Drosophila melanogaster: one gene and its partners. Changing the gene in region 1 together with any one later gene gives a genetic interaction. Each region holds a gene or a part of one and is shown on either strand. Other genes may lie near its edges.

Region 1 (5,040 bases):
ACAATTGAATGACTACTTTAATTTAAACCACAACTTCTAAAAGAGAAACAACTAATTTATCAGTAAATACTTAGGATTTGCGTTCAGAAACATCCGAAATTGCATTAATTTGCATAAATTAGTAAGCTATTATTAGTAGTATTCGCCTGGAGCGAATTAGTTTATTTACTTTAAGCTTACAGTTGCAAACATTCCCTGACTTCAACTAGAGTTCCGAAACTCTCGGGCATCCAGAGAGAAAACCAATAATATCCATTGTGTATATACGCGCAAAACTAAATAAAATAAACTCCTCTAAGTAAAAATAAGAACAATATGAACCTCTGACATAGTTCTTTTGTCTGTTTCTATTTTATTAAACAATCTTCTAAAACCAAAAAAAATGCTTAATGCGCGTGGACGCGATGGCGATGGAGGACTGCAGGAGTGCGGATCGATTGCATACGAGTGCCAATTCAGGTGGCTACAGCGAGTTGATGATCTTCCGGCTTCGCATCTGCTCCATCCAGCTCTCGTACTGCTGCTCCGGCGTCTGCGGCTCCTGGTAGTAGTGCTGCGGCGGCTCGCCCTCCTCCAGGCGCACGAAGTAGTGGCAGTGCTTGTACTCCACTTTGCCGAAGCGACCGCGAGCATGCCGCCTCACGCCCTTGAAGACGCGTCCCTTGCCCACGAAGGATTCGGCTGGTAGGTAAGAACAGACAAAGATTCATCAATATAATGGTTAGTGATGAAGAAACTAATGATAATCCATCATTCATAGTGGATACATAGATTCCTTGTGCCCCTGCGGCTCACCTATCCACAGATTGCTCTTGTACTCCACGTTATGCCGCTCCACGGCTATTTGCTGGGCCTCCAGTATGGTCTCCTTCACATCGGTGGCCCCCTTTTTGAGCACAAAGTTCAGCTGCTTCAGCGCCTCGTCGACGGACATTCCGCGAACAAAGGCAGCGATGTACCACATCTTGTCCGGACTGTATTTGATGTTGCTGCGCATGTGGCAGACATACTGTGCAATGCAAGTGGATTAGAGGATTGCAGCTGGAGGGGTAACAGCAGTGCGTTCGAAATATGTATCTTACAGCATTTCTGGGCTCCTCGTCCGTTTCCTGCGGCGGATGCACGGTCTTGTTGTACTCCAGCCATTTGCGGGGTCCGTAGTTGTACTTGTTCCACTTGGCGCACAGCATTCCGGCGGAAGCGGCCGTGTGCAGGGATTTCGACTGGAGGGCAGGTGGTGAAACTGGTGATATGGCTGGTGATATTGAGCTGCTATCCGCCGATCGGAGGAGCGCTGCTCCCTGTGGCGCCTGCAGGCGCAGCTGGGACATTTGCCGGATCACCTTGTGCATCTTAGCTTGCTTGAGTTATCACAGCAAATCCAGGCAATTCAATCCGGAAGGGAAAACGCAGACTTTCCGTAAAAAAAATAATCGCGTAATCTGCCAGTGTGACCAATGGCAGCAGGTATGCCGTGGACCTAAAACGTACCGCACAAGCGGCTGATCTGCGAGCGGTATGGCAGCGTTTGATTAGGATATGTAAACATCTGGCAGCGCTATCGATATTGCTTGAAAATATATTTATTTATTAGATTTAAAAAAAAACTTGTAAAAGCAAGTTGGTACGACATAAAATTATTAACTTAAATAAGAGCATATCAGCAATTCACATTTAGAAGCCATTAAAATAATGCATTGAAACGGAAACATTTATCTCCACACAAATTAGCAATTAATACACATTTTCATAAAAATATGAAACCTAACAATTAAAGTACCCATTTGGAATTGACCATCTTTAAAGTATATTAAAATTGAAAGACATAAATATTCCTTATGCACTATGTAACTATTCTAGTTCAATATTATACACTTAAGTTGATCGTTCTCAACAGCGCGTCGCGCTCACTTTTGAATCGCCCAACGATCTGGCATCCCTGCGTGAAATTTGAAATTGTATCTGAGGAATTGCTAGCCATCTGAGTGCTGCATTCGGTGGCGTGAAGCGAAAGTTGCCTGGTGTAAAGTGCGGAGCGCTCGCGTTCGAAACGGAAATTCAACGGGCGCCAGTTTTGATTCAAATTCGCGTATGCAAATGCAATCGATGGTAATTGAACGGCGAAACATTTATATTTGCGTGTTATCTGATACATATATCCAGCCATCGAAAATGTTTACCGGAGTTTCGAGGGCTCATTGTTTGTTTTCATTAATTTGCATTGCCAGTTTGCTCTGCCTCGGTTAGCCGGCGAATTTGCTCGTATAGTCGAATTGCACTACATTCCGAGATCTCGTGATTGCGAATCTAAACCATCTGGATAAATGGGAAAACCCATTTTCACTGCAGCGTTCTCATTTTCGAGGCAGAATTAATTTGCACCAACGCACATGCGAAAATGTTGCATATCGTGCAATTAAAACTTATAGATTTCAAAGCTCATTTAGTTAAAACTTTGAAAAAAGTGTATTTACCTTTTTCGAATTTTAAAAAATATATACATTTTTTTAATTTCCGAATGGATATAAGCTTGTGTATATGAACATAAAAATCATAAATTTATATGTGATTCCATTTTCGAAATAAACGTTCTTCCATATGTACATATGGCCCAACAAAATGACACATCAAATGGTCGAAACTTTTGCTAACGGAAATTACAGACTTCCCACACGAAACTCACCTTTGAAATTTTTTTCGAGTGGGATGCTCGCTACATACATGTGTAGATAATGAAAAAATAAAACTTTTGCTATCGTTTTGGTTGTTTGAGAGCTTTGCGTTTGTTCCGAGATCGCTCTCCCGAGTCTAAAAACTAGAGACTACATTGGTTGGGTATTGAGTAGGCGATCTGGCACGAGCAGTTCACCCATGTATCTCTGGCGGTGCTAAGATGTATCTTACAGATACTGTGCGCCATTAGTCGTCGTTTAAATCTTGCTGCGTTCGCTGCCGAGGTAGAGCAAACACCAAATGTCAAATAGCAAATCAAAATATAAATAATACAAACAATACCAATTGAAAGTGAACTTTACTTATTAACAGCACAACACGCGACGCGCCAACAAATTGCTTGAAACATTTTTTTCCAGTGTTGCAGCACCAGTGAAAAGTGCACCGACCAAATAAATTCCCAAAATATACGCATATTAAACAAAATCTGACAAAAAAACACAAACACAAAAGCCAAAATCAATAAACTAATGTCGCAGCTGTGTTTGCACCTCCGACATTTTGTGCAGTGTAGAATTCGATCTGTATATGCACGTCTATATATACATGTGCATATATACCTAGATATAGGCGGACTCTGCTGGGCGTAGCACACAGCTTCCAACTTTTTAGATTTATTTTTAGACAATGATCGTTTTTTCCACTATTTTGATGTGTTTTTTTTTCGTATTCATATCTTAACCATCTGGGCAAGATTGTATGGCAATTCCAGTAGTGACTGTTGCCAAATATATTCAATTGATGTGCAAAAAAAAGAAGAGAAGTGTTCAAAAAGGGTCTCAAACCTTTTACTTCAAAACTGAAGGTTATTTCGTTAATTAGTAGTTACAAGTTCAAATGATGATCAAATAAATGGGAAACGAAGAAATATTTTTAGAAACTTTCGCCAGCTTTTGCATTTAAATGCAAATTGCACGCTTAGGAAGTTATTTATGCAAATTTAGCAACTTTCAGTTAACAATTGTGTTCGCCTGGCAACGCATTTCAATTTTTAGCCTGCAATTTGTGGGCCACGAAATTAACTGTCTTATTTATATTGACACATTCGCCAGTCATTTTGAATGCCAGCCGCATGATCAATTTGTTGAATGTTAAATGGTGTACACCATATGGCGCGTTCTACAGCGAATTTTTAGGTTGTTTTTTTTTCCTCTCTCTCGCTTAATTATAATTCATTTTCTTGTCTATGAATGGCAGCCGCCCATCAATGAACTCGAATCGCCCACACTCGGCGGAAAAACTGGGCATAAAAAGTGGAAAATGTGTCAAATGTCACCTGCACAAAACCGCCTACAACTTGTGGGATTCTTTTCCGCCACAGAAACCTACGTACACTGCAAAAAATATCCAGCTCAAATACTTACTTAAGGTCTTGATTTCTTCAAGTACTTGCAACTGAAATAATATTTTGAATCGTTCGATACCAATTGCATTTTCAACTTTTCCTTGAAAGTTATCTTCAATTTAAACTAAAGTTGTGTGGGAAGGGCTGGCTGGCTGGCTTTCAATCTGGCTAAAAGTCTAATGGCTTTTTGGCCGTTATTTTGTTATTTTGGCCAACCTGTTTGACGGCCCATTACGTCACCATCACCATCATCGCGATGCTGAGCGTAGAACGCGCCAAAATCTAAGCATGCAGCAAAAAGAAAAAAATCCAAAAGCAAACATGAAACCGTCAAAAATGTCTAAAAACAACAAATCAGATTTTAGAATTAGACAACAATATATGAACGACCCGACTGATACCCTAGCATTTTGCTGCAGTGAAAAGGAGATGATTGAAATCATTTAAACAAAAAAAAAATAAAATAAAATAAATAATAAAAAGAAGTGAGAACCTAAAGTGATTTGTTAAAAAATTAACAAGAAACCGTTTTAATGAAAACAAAAGCTACTAAATATAAAAATATAATATAAACAACCTTACATGCAAAGAAATATAATTAAAACCTAATAATATAATAATAATCGATAAAAATAAGTTCAAATTATCGGATGACATGCATTTTATTGATTTTTTGGCATTGACAGTTTAATAGTAACGAATAATTTGAAAAGAAACTGAACCGTGTAATAAAGATACTCGTAATTGGCCCGACATCCGACTTCAGACATTAGATATCCGACCAGCCCTAACCACCCCGCCCACTCCGCGATTCCCAAGGCCAACAGATCTTGATTATGATGTTAAGCGAGAGAGAGAGAGAGAGCGGGCGAGTGGGTGCGAATGAGAGAGGAAGATCGCAGACGTTGAGATAGAGATATGTGGAGATACTAAAAAACAGAGACACTCAGCATTTGCCGAGT
Region 2 (4,615 bases), on another chromosome or scaffold:
GGATATCCATCCATAGGCATACAATGTCTCAATCGCCACGCACATTGACACATTTTTCAATGGCACTAAAACTGTATAATGGGGCCGTACAACGCATTTAATGTCGGCCCACACACACAGGCCAATTCCGATCGGTTTGAGCCAAGTGCACACAAATTTGGTGGGACTTGTGGCCGGACTGTGAAACTTGGCCAGGTGAGGTCCGGTGGTGGGAGTCTGCTTTCCAATGGAACGACCAATCCGATGTCCATCCACAACTTTGGCCACAACTTTAAACTTTCACGTCTCATTTTGGTGTATGCTGGTTTCAAAAATCGGATCTTGCCCCATGCCTGCCGTTGGCTAGATGTGCCGCCCCAGAAATTTTGGGTTCCGATGGGGAAGACTGTTGCAATGAAGTGATCCTCATACATATATGTATATCAAAATATTGTTGAAGACACAGGCAACACACAATAAGTTCACCGATCCACTGGCATTAAGTGTTGTAATAGTGGAAGGACCTAAATGTGAACAGAACACGAGTAAAATTTTAGAATAAAAGTAGCTTTGTAGACTTAAAAGATTGTTTTATTTTGATACACTTTATCGATAATTAATTATTTTTAGTACGCAATATCTTAATACTGCGTTGAATTTTTGTGAAATTCGCCAACCACACGGAAGCCAGCGAAAAATGTCTTTCGCGATGGAAAGTAAAAGTTGTCGCCGGCCTAGGGTCGCTTATATGGTGCGTCCATCGAAACGCTCGCGAATGCCAATTTTCCCACATACATTTCGCGTTTTGCAGCAGAGTTAACCAAGTTAACACCAACATTTGGCCAGTACGAGTTCGGGGGCTCATTTGCATGGTGTTTTGGACTTGGGGCCCAGATGCCAGCCCCCGCATATGTCCGGCGAAACAAAATGCCGCTTGGTTCTAATCTGCCAGCAATTTCCGTGCGCAATTAATGCCTCCACAGCGCAGTGTCTTAATTAATTCAAAATCAACGCCAACGCGCCAAATTGTGGCCCACCCAGCTACCAGGTGGCAACGCTGAATGTTGTTAGTCAATTAATGCATTAACTAGCCTCCATTTGGAAGAATATTAATGGCCCACCTTTGTATTTAGTTGCTATTAACTTATTTGGCCATTTATTAACTTTTATACTCGCACTTTTGGCTAAAATATGTGTAATATGTTAACCAGCTGCGCAACTCTGTTTGTGCGGAGTGGCAACGCTGATGGGTGATCTCGCATGCTGGCAGTAGGGTGCGAGAGAGCCAAGTCAGAGAGAAACTGACGTCACAAGATGGGTATTGGCGTATTTTTTATGGAAATGGTTATGCAAATATTGACTAAACGTCACCGAGTAGTTAAAAGCACTGATATATTAGAAATTAGTTAATTTAGATCAAAAATACCCCCAAATATATAACCAAATATTGGCTTTTAAATATTTATTAAAAGCAATCGCACTTTGTGACGTCACTGGGCGAGAGAGCAGAGAAACGAGAGCACATTGAAACCACCACCCCACGATCGAACTGGCATGATCTCACACTTACAACGTTTTGTGCTCTTCGCTTCGCATTCAGTTTCTTTTTCTCTTTCTTTGCGCACGGTTCAGTGGTAGGAAAATTAGGAGGAATCGTTCAGTAAAGTCCCGAGATCCGTTCGCTATTCCCCGACTCGAATAAAATCCATATACACATATATCAAATAAACAAAGGATAGGAGTCCTCAGAGAAGAAAAGTGTGTTTAAAAAAAATACTTTCCAAACAAAACGAAATGAATAAAATCCAAAGCCATCCAGTAGCAACAACAAATACATAATCAGCAACTGTGCATATTTCTGCGAGTTTTCTTGCATTTTTAAATCGGTTAAGTGGCCTTGTGCACTCGGTACATCTCCAGGCAAAGGAATTTATACCTTTGTATCTTCAAAACGTAGAAATTTGAATATAAAATTTATTTAAATACTTTTTTGTTGTACTTGCTGTTGCAGCAGCCAAATGAGCGAGGGTGAGAGAGAGAGGCAGCTATTTTGACATTCTGCTTTCATTCATCTCCGTCGCATATACAGTTTTACTGTTTATTGTCCGTGTGTGAGTGAGCGATCGCCGAGGAATTTTCTGCCTTCGCTTTCGACTTGCTGCGCTCTCTCGCTCTCTCAGTATCTCTCGCCCTGCATTGTTGTTGCTGCCGATCGGAAAAAATACTTTTGGGCGGAGTTGTTTTCATTTCGTTTTCCGTTTTTAATATCGCTCGCGTACGAAACTTAATGAATTTCCCAACTCCCACAGTAACGTGTTAAAAGTAGCAAAAACAAATAAAAAAGAAGTGTGCACCAAGTAAAGAAAGCAGAGACCCAAGGAAAGTTGAAAGTTGAAAACCAGAATCTCGTCGAGAACAAAACAAAAAGTTCCCAAAAACCCACACATCACACACGCACGCAACAAAATGAGTGTCTGTGAGAGCAAAGCCGTTGTGCAACAGCAACTGCAGCAGCACTTGCAGCAACAGGCAGCCGCAGCAGTTGTTGCGGTCGCGCAACAGCAGCAGGCTCAAGCCCAAGCCCAGGCTCAGGCTCAGGCACAGCAGCAGCAACAGGCGCCGCAGGTGGTGGTCCCCATGACCCCGCAGCACTTGACCCCACAGCAGCAGCAGCAGAGCACACAGAGCATCGCCGACTATCTGGCCCAGTTGCTCAAGGACCGCAAGCAACTGGCCGCCTTCCCCAACGTCTTCACCCACGTCGAACGCCTGCTGGACGAAGGTAAGTCGCTAAAACTCAAACCGAGTGAGATCCCTCCAAGTCACAGCATCATCCTAATCCCGGATCCAAGACTCAGCGGAAGGATAACGATCACTAGCTAGCCTTTTCTGAATCAAACGATAAACCCAGTTACTGTTTGTTATTGTGATAATATCCTTTTATTCATCAAACACTTTACAGTACCATTAGGAAATTGTTATATATAATAAATGTGATGAAATGTGGTGAAAGAAGAAATTTGGATATTCTTGTTATAATGTTCAGATATTTAACTCTAGAATGTATTAGAACTTTGTGTTTGTATTCCAAAAATTCATGAAAAGAACATTAAACTATTGTAGTATACAAATCGATGCCATTACAGTTTGGTTTATATCTTTTTTAATTGTTCAAAAAATATTTGCAAAGCACTTTAATTCCGAGAATCTGGCGGGATTTATTGTAAACATGTATTACAGAGACTGTAGGTATTTAGAACACATTTGGGTAAATGGGAGAGTTTAAATGAGTATATATGTTATTTTAAAGTGGTGACTTCATTTTCAATCGTGTGTGCCAGGCGTGTTAATGATTAGGGTGCCTCTAACCAAGTGATCACTGTAGTTCAATCAGTTTTGGGGCATGGATCTCTGGGTGTCTGGTTTGTCTCCTCGGCGTCTCCTTTTCGGCATCTTCTCCATCGCGGGTTCTGAGTTCATTCCACCTTACAAACCGAAACGAGATGTTTGTTATTTTTAGTTACTTCCTTTTTGTGCGCCTCTTCGCGGAGCGCACACTACTTACACCTCTCTCCGGGCTCTCTCCTTTTGTATTCTTGGCTCCACACTTGACTGCCAGTGCAGCCTTTGTTGTTCTCATTATGAATTCTTTGTTGACTCGGCCATTCGTAAACCAAAAAGGAGGGAGGCTTGGATTTTGAGAGACGCAGAAGGAGATGCGAAACCCCAGGGGGGGAACCCCCAACAAAGATAGAAACATTAATGTGGTGTGGTATTATGTGATAAGAGATCATTTTATTCACAAGCATGTATGAATTTATACATATGCTAAAAGTTTTAAAATTTTCGAATCTGGAATATTATTGGATCCATTTAATGATCTGCTTTGCTCTGTGCACTGAACGTGTAGCAAACTTATCTGAAAGAGGAAAAATGTACCTCAACTGCCCACGCTTTGCCTCGAAAACCAAAAAAATCAAAAAAAAAGAAAATATGAATAAATATACGGCAACGAAGCAAAAACTCTTAAAGGCAAGCCAACAAAAGTCAACTTTCGGGGCGGGATAGGGGCGGTATAGGGGCAGGGGCGTGGCACTACCTGGTCGCATCTTGTATCTTGTATCTGGCATATCGGAGCTCTCGTTTCTGTATTTGCCCAACATCTGTTGCCCATATGCAGGCCGGCCAAGAGGGTGTGTGTCGCCTCGTAATGACAAAATTATGTTGCACAGATACACAGATTCAGATACTGGTGCGGTATTTGCGGATTGCAAGGTACCGCTAGATGGCCAGAGTACACTTATTATGTACAGCGTATGTTTGGATTACTTTAATATACGTTTTTTTTTACCATATTGCTTAATCAATTTGTTTATAATTGCTACTACAATTTAAATTACATTTAATTATTGCAATTAAACTTGAAATGTGATAGCAAATGGTCTGTATAATAAGATGCAAGATCTTGATTTCTCTCTTCATTTGGAAAATATCCAAGAAGTCGGTGGTCTTATCTAGACCAATCAGATTATTGATTACCAGGTACCAGGAGGTATCGCACTGTCGGAAAACTCGCCCAAAAGCTTATATTCTTGTTTTGGTTTCGTCTCGGCATAACTGCAAACTAGTTTGCCTG
Region 3 (4,757 bases), on another chromosome or scaffold:
AACGGAGTATATCTTCTTTTTGCAGGAGATGCCACTGATGCGAGAACAGGATCGACCGAGAAGCGAATCACCTTCACCCTGGCTCCCAGTTCGGCCGAATGCTCGCCGTCGGGTAGCCAAACGACACTTACTCCCAAAAAGTTCGAGGCCATTGCCGAGGAGGAGAAGGAGGACGACAAGGCCGATGAGGAGGAGGAGATCATGGAGGAGGTGGTGCTGCGACCTCGCCTCATCGACCGGCATCCTCATCTGCTGGCCAACCCCAGTGGACTGACGACCACGCCCAAACGGATCCTGCGATCCGCCAAGAGCGTTCCGCACATGAATGTCCGTTCGTCGGCCAGTGAGACGGATATATTCTCCATTAGCGGTACGATGACCGGAAGCAGTCAGATCAGCATGACGCCGGAGGTGCCATCGATATCGTTCAGTAATCTGCCTAAGAACTACGAGGACACGCCCACTATTGAGAAGTACCGGGTATCGCAGAGTCTCTATTCCATTCAAACGGCGAATGCTGCTCGGGCCACACAGGATGATTACTCCATGCCGCGCTACTTCCGTCGATCTGCCATGCTATTGACCCAGAGCTCTGAGGTGCTGCCCGGCGCCAGTTCACTGGCCTCCATGTCGCCATCGATGGCCTCGTCCTCTGCCTCGCCCGGGTCCTCCAAGGACGAACTGCGACGGCCAGAGAAGGAGAAGAGCAAACGACTCCAGATGCTGCGTGGCAATCTACCGCCCTTACTTATTCATTCCGTGTCCTTCAAACGAAATCGCGACGAGGGCAAGCAGGTTGACTAGTCGCACTGCAGATATACATATTTATTTGTTAATCACTTTGTCCATGTTTTTAATGTTTTAAATTTATTAGCCTTTAGTACCTGCTTATGCGTTTTCTGTATTATCTTCTAAGCAATGACCTTGTCCAAACAATTCCTCAGTATTCAGATGTACTTCATTTTGAATTAATGATTGATATTACAAAATAAATTGTATTTTACCACAAAAAACAGCGATTAAAGATCCTACTTAATAAATCTTTATAAAAATCTAAACGATATCTATTTGTACCATTTTAAAAGAAATAAATGCGAGCTTGAAAAAAAATGCACTTATCTCCCCGACGGGGAATTGAACCCCGGTCTCCCGCGTGACAGGCGGGGATACTAACCACTATACTATCGAGGATGTTATACAAAGTGAGTCAAACTCGGGTTTTCCGTTTGCGGAGTGTGAATGCTTGTTTCAATTTCATCTGTTCCCCATTTGTACTCTGAAGACAGTGTGCAAGCTCGAGACGGTTGTTTGACAGTGGGTAGACAACATCCTCGATAGTATAGTGGTTAGTATCCCCGCCTGTCACGCGGGAGACCGGGGTTCAATTCCCCGTCGGGGAGAGATGTAAAAATTACTTTTTGTTGATTGTTTTAATTTATTAATTTAATTTTTTAATTTTTTAATTTCAAAATTTAAGTAATGCAATACATGTTTCAGACCAACAAATTAAAATAAAAAATTGCACCATATAGCTTAAAAAAACGTCAAACATGTATATTTAATTAGGTCATCCTGGAAGTGATATATAATGAAACACATTTCAACGGGTATATAAGTTTTGTTAAGGGGTAACTGTAAGCCGGACCCATTTAGCTTACCACCCAATATGGTAGCACTGGCTGTAGAAATTCCCAATGGCAACGCTAGTCGACCAGTTTTCATTCGTATTGGCGTGTGTGTTGTTTGTACAACAAAACATTCTAGTTGTTTTATTTGCAAGGTGCTCATATAAAAACATAAACAATATATTTCGTAGAGTGCCCTAATAATTTATTAAGTTGTGAATTAAACAAATATGAATAAGAAGCGTGTCCAAGTGAATTGGTTAAATTGTAAATTATAAATAAAGCAATACATATAAACGGCCGGCAAAACAGAGAGCGCGTTTTAAGAGAGAACCTAATAGGAAAAGAGTGTAGAGCTGCCAGGTTTCAATTAGGTACCAGGTACCAAACGTATTTATTATTCGAGAAGAACTATTTTTGGTGACTAAATATGGTTTCTGATTATAGAAGTGTTCTCCTAATATATAATTTTTAAAAATTTTTTTCTACACGTGCCCTCAGATTGTTGATATTCAAAATTCGTACACAAACGCCCTTGACAGGCGCAGTCTCACCCGCGCCCACTGAGAGCGGAACGACGGAAATTTCAAACATTATTTCTATTTTCTATTTGAATTGAAACTATGTATTTTCCATAATTTTCAAAATATTCTTGATTTTTTTTGAATAACTAAATTAATTATTTTAAGTATCGCGAGGGAGAATAAGAGTTTAAAGCGGCCGATTATATTGAGGGGGAGTTTCAGTCAACGAAAAGGAAATAGTGAGAGGAGAGGGCTTATTGAAGAGAGCCTCTCATTTTAAAATTTCTCTTTAAGCGTGTTCCTTCTAAAGGACACAAGAAACTAATATGTTTATGAAATAAGAAACTTAACCGTGTATGTGTTTTCCAATTTTGCGTGAACAAATAAAAGAGCTCAAGCATTTTATCGTTTGAGTAATTTTAGATAAAAATTTATTAATATTTTTTAATGTTTTCAATTTGCCATAGACAACATTTTTTCCAATAAAATTCGGTAATATAAATAACATGGTGTTATGGCCTGCAATTTTTATATAAATTTTTAGTAGCACGCTCTTAGTTTAATATTTAGGTCAATAAAATAATTATCCTTATTGTTTTTTTTTTTAATTTGCATATTGTTTGTTGACCAGCTGTTAAGAGAAGAGAGGAGAGAGAAAAAGAGAACCGAAAAAGTGACCGTTCGCGACTTCGCAGTCAGCGCTGGAAAACGCACTAACGCGCGGAAAATGCCCTAGCGCCAGAGAAAGTGCCATTTGAGACTGAACTCTCTTTCGTGCGAGTTCCCTTTTCATTCGAAAATTTAACGCCCGCGCTGCTGCAGCGCGTTGTTGCTCCGGTTGGAAAATATCTGAAAACAGCATTAATAAATAAACAAAAATATTGGATAAATCGCCGGTAGAAACGCTGCATAAAACGAAATTTGGTTTCTTGTAAAATATTATTTTTCAAGATATTTTCTTGTTAATTTCCGGATATTCGACAAGGATATAAATGTTTCTTTCGCGTTGATAAACAAATTCCAGCACCGCTACCTTTGTGTCGCGCAATTGTGAAAAGTGATTTGTCCATTGTGTACATTAATTAATAAATTGGTAATTGCTCAATTTAGAAACATGTGCAATCGAGAGCTAGTGTGAGTGTTTGTGTGCAACAATAATAAAGCCGAAAATTGCCCAATTGCAATTGGCAATCACAACAAAATTGGAATATTATGGCACATTAGAAAAAGAAAATAACGAAAACTGTGTTTCCACCCAAAGTTTAGGCCGCAGCAGAGCGAATCCACAAAAATATACAATTTCGGCAATTTTTCCACATATTTTTCATTGATTTTTCGCCATCCTGCGGGTGTGAGCAAGAGGGCGAGAGAGTTGAAAGGAGAGCCAGGCTTTTGTATTCTGTTTTGGGTACGTTTTGGGAATGAAACGGTCCTGGCTCTCGCTAACCCACCCTCCCTCTCTCTTTGGGATTATCCTTTTTATATTTTGTTTATTTCTCTATTTTCCTGGCCACGTTTTGTGCACCATTCGTTTCGCTGCATTTCATTCTCGCGGCGTTTCAAATTGACTCAGAGAGAGTGAGAGTAAGAGTGGGAGAGAGCAGCACTCTCTTATTCTTCTTCCTCAAACTCACGCACCCCCCGCATAATGTTTTTCGACTCTGCCTTGTGCCCCCCATTCGCATCTCTCCGCAGCGCGTTGCCAACCAAAAAAAGAAAACTAAAGTACTGTTGTCATAATAAGAAATTTATCAGGAAAAAAGTTGAATTACAAAGTGTTTCAATTGATATTTCTTGATCATTTCTTCATCAAATCGTGTTTCATATCGTAGCAAATATTAATTTTAATTCAAAAAGCCCTACATGCCAGATATTTGTGTTCAAGATAAGCTCTTCCTGCGGCCATAACTTTTGATTGGGAAACTGAAATCTAATCCAGTTTTCCTTCTCCCATTTCCACAGTATTTAAGCCAGAAACAAAGTGAATAAGGCAAATTTGAATAAAGAAAAAGAATAAACCAAGAAAATATGCTCAGAAATCGCATCCGTAGCCTACTTATCGCATGAAGAACCGGTACCGTTAAGGGATAATCGCCGTCGCGTTAATTCGACTCCTGCACCGCACCGCCCCGCCCCCCCGTTCGTCGTTTCGTCTATTCATATATCCGATATAACCGTTATCGCGCCCGTGCATCTGCGTCTGCATCTGTGTGCGTGAGTCCTTGTATCCTCTGTACATATGTACAATATTTGTCGTCGTCGTCGTCGTGCATCGTTGTTGTTGTTCTTGCTGTTATCCTATTATTCATCGTCGTCCGCTGGCATTAATCTGCGTATAAAGTAAATATAACAAATTTGTGTTCTTCGGTGTTGTCTCGTGTAAGTGTCTATAATTTGTTTAAGTACGACAAGCGATCGGTGCGAATCAAAAAATTCCAATTCACCAGTCTGTGTGTGCGAATCGATAATCGAGCTATCAGAACAACCACAACAACAACAACAGCCCAATCAATCGATCAATGTCAGCAAACAAACGATAAACAGGACTCGCTGGGACTAATCAATTGCGTAATCTTCAGAATATTTTGGATTCCAACGTCTACGGAGT

What was found.
Region 2: of if (region 1) and how, changing one enhances a phenotype caused by changing the other (phenotypic enhancement), as found in Drosophila melanogaster (one study listed by BioGRID).
Region 3: of if (region 1) and Sema1a, changing one enhances a phenotype caused by changing the other (phenotypic enhancement), as found in Drosophila melanogaster (one study listed by BioGRID).

The regions. Positions count from the first base shown.
Region 1 is NC_004354.4:16,780,387-16,785,426, reverse strand, and holds the start of if (inflated), read left to right. Parts: upstream 1-1,992; 5' UTR 1,993-2,109; intron 2,110-2,881; exon of another isoform or gene 2,882-2,957; intron 2,958-4,352; exon of another isoform or gene 4,353-4,563; intron 4,564-5,040. Other genes in the region: mRpL22 (mitochondrial ribosomal protein L22), read right to left, coding at 464-681, 796-1,009, 1,083-1,352. UniProt on the Drosophila melanogaster protein: Alpha-PS2/beta-PS is a receptor for Tig, wb and Ten-m. Involved in the function and/or development of the olfactory system.
Region 2 is NT_033777.3:22,040,619-22,045,233, forward strand, and holds the start of how (held out wings), read left to right. Parts: upstream 1-1,572; 5' UTR 1,573-1,737; intron 1,738-2,288; 5' UTR 2,289-2,445; coding exon 2,446-2,761; intron 2,762-4,615. UniProt on the Drosophila melanogaster protein: RNA-binding protein involved in muscle development and dosage compensation. Vital role in steroid regulation of muscle development and to control heart rate.
Region 3 is NT_033779.5:8,540,433-8,545,189, forward strand, and holds the start of Sema1a (semaphorin 1a), read left to right. Parts: upstream 1-1,714; 5' UTR 1,715-1,780; intron 1,781-2,780; exon of another isoform or gene 2,781-3,283; intron 3,284-4,111; 5' UTR 4,112-4,757. Other genes in the region: CG17834 (uncharacterized protein), read left to right, coding at 26-804. UniProt on the Drosophila melanogaster protein: Involved in growth cone guidance through its role in axonal repulsion. Function in neurons is essential for adult survival, motor neuron survival, and is important for climbing behavior and activity.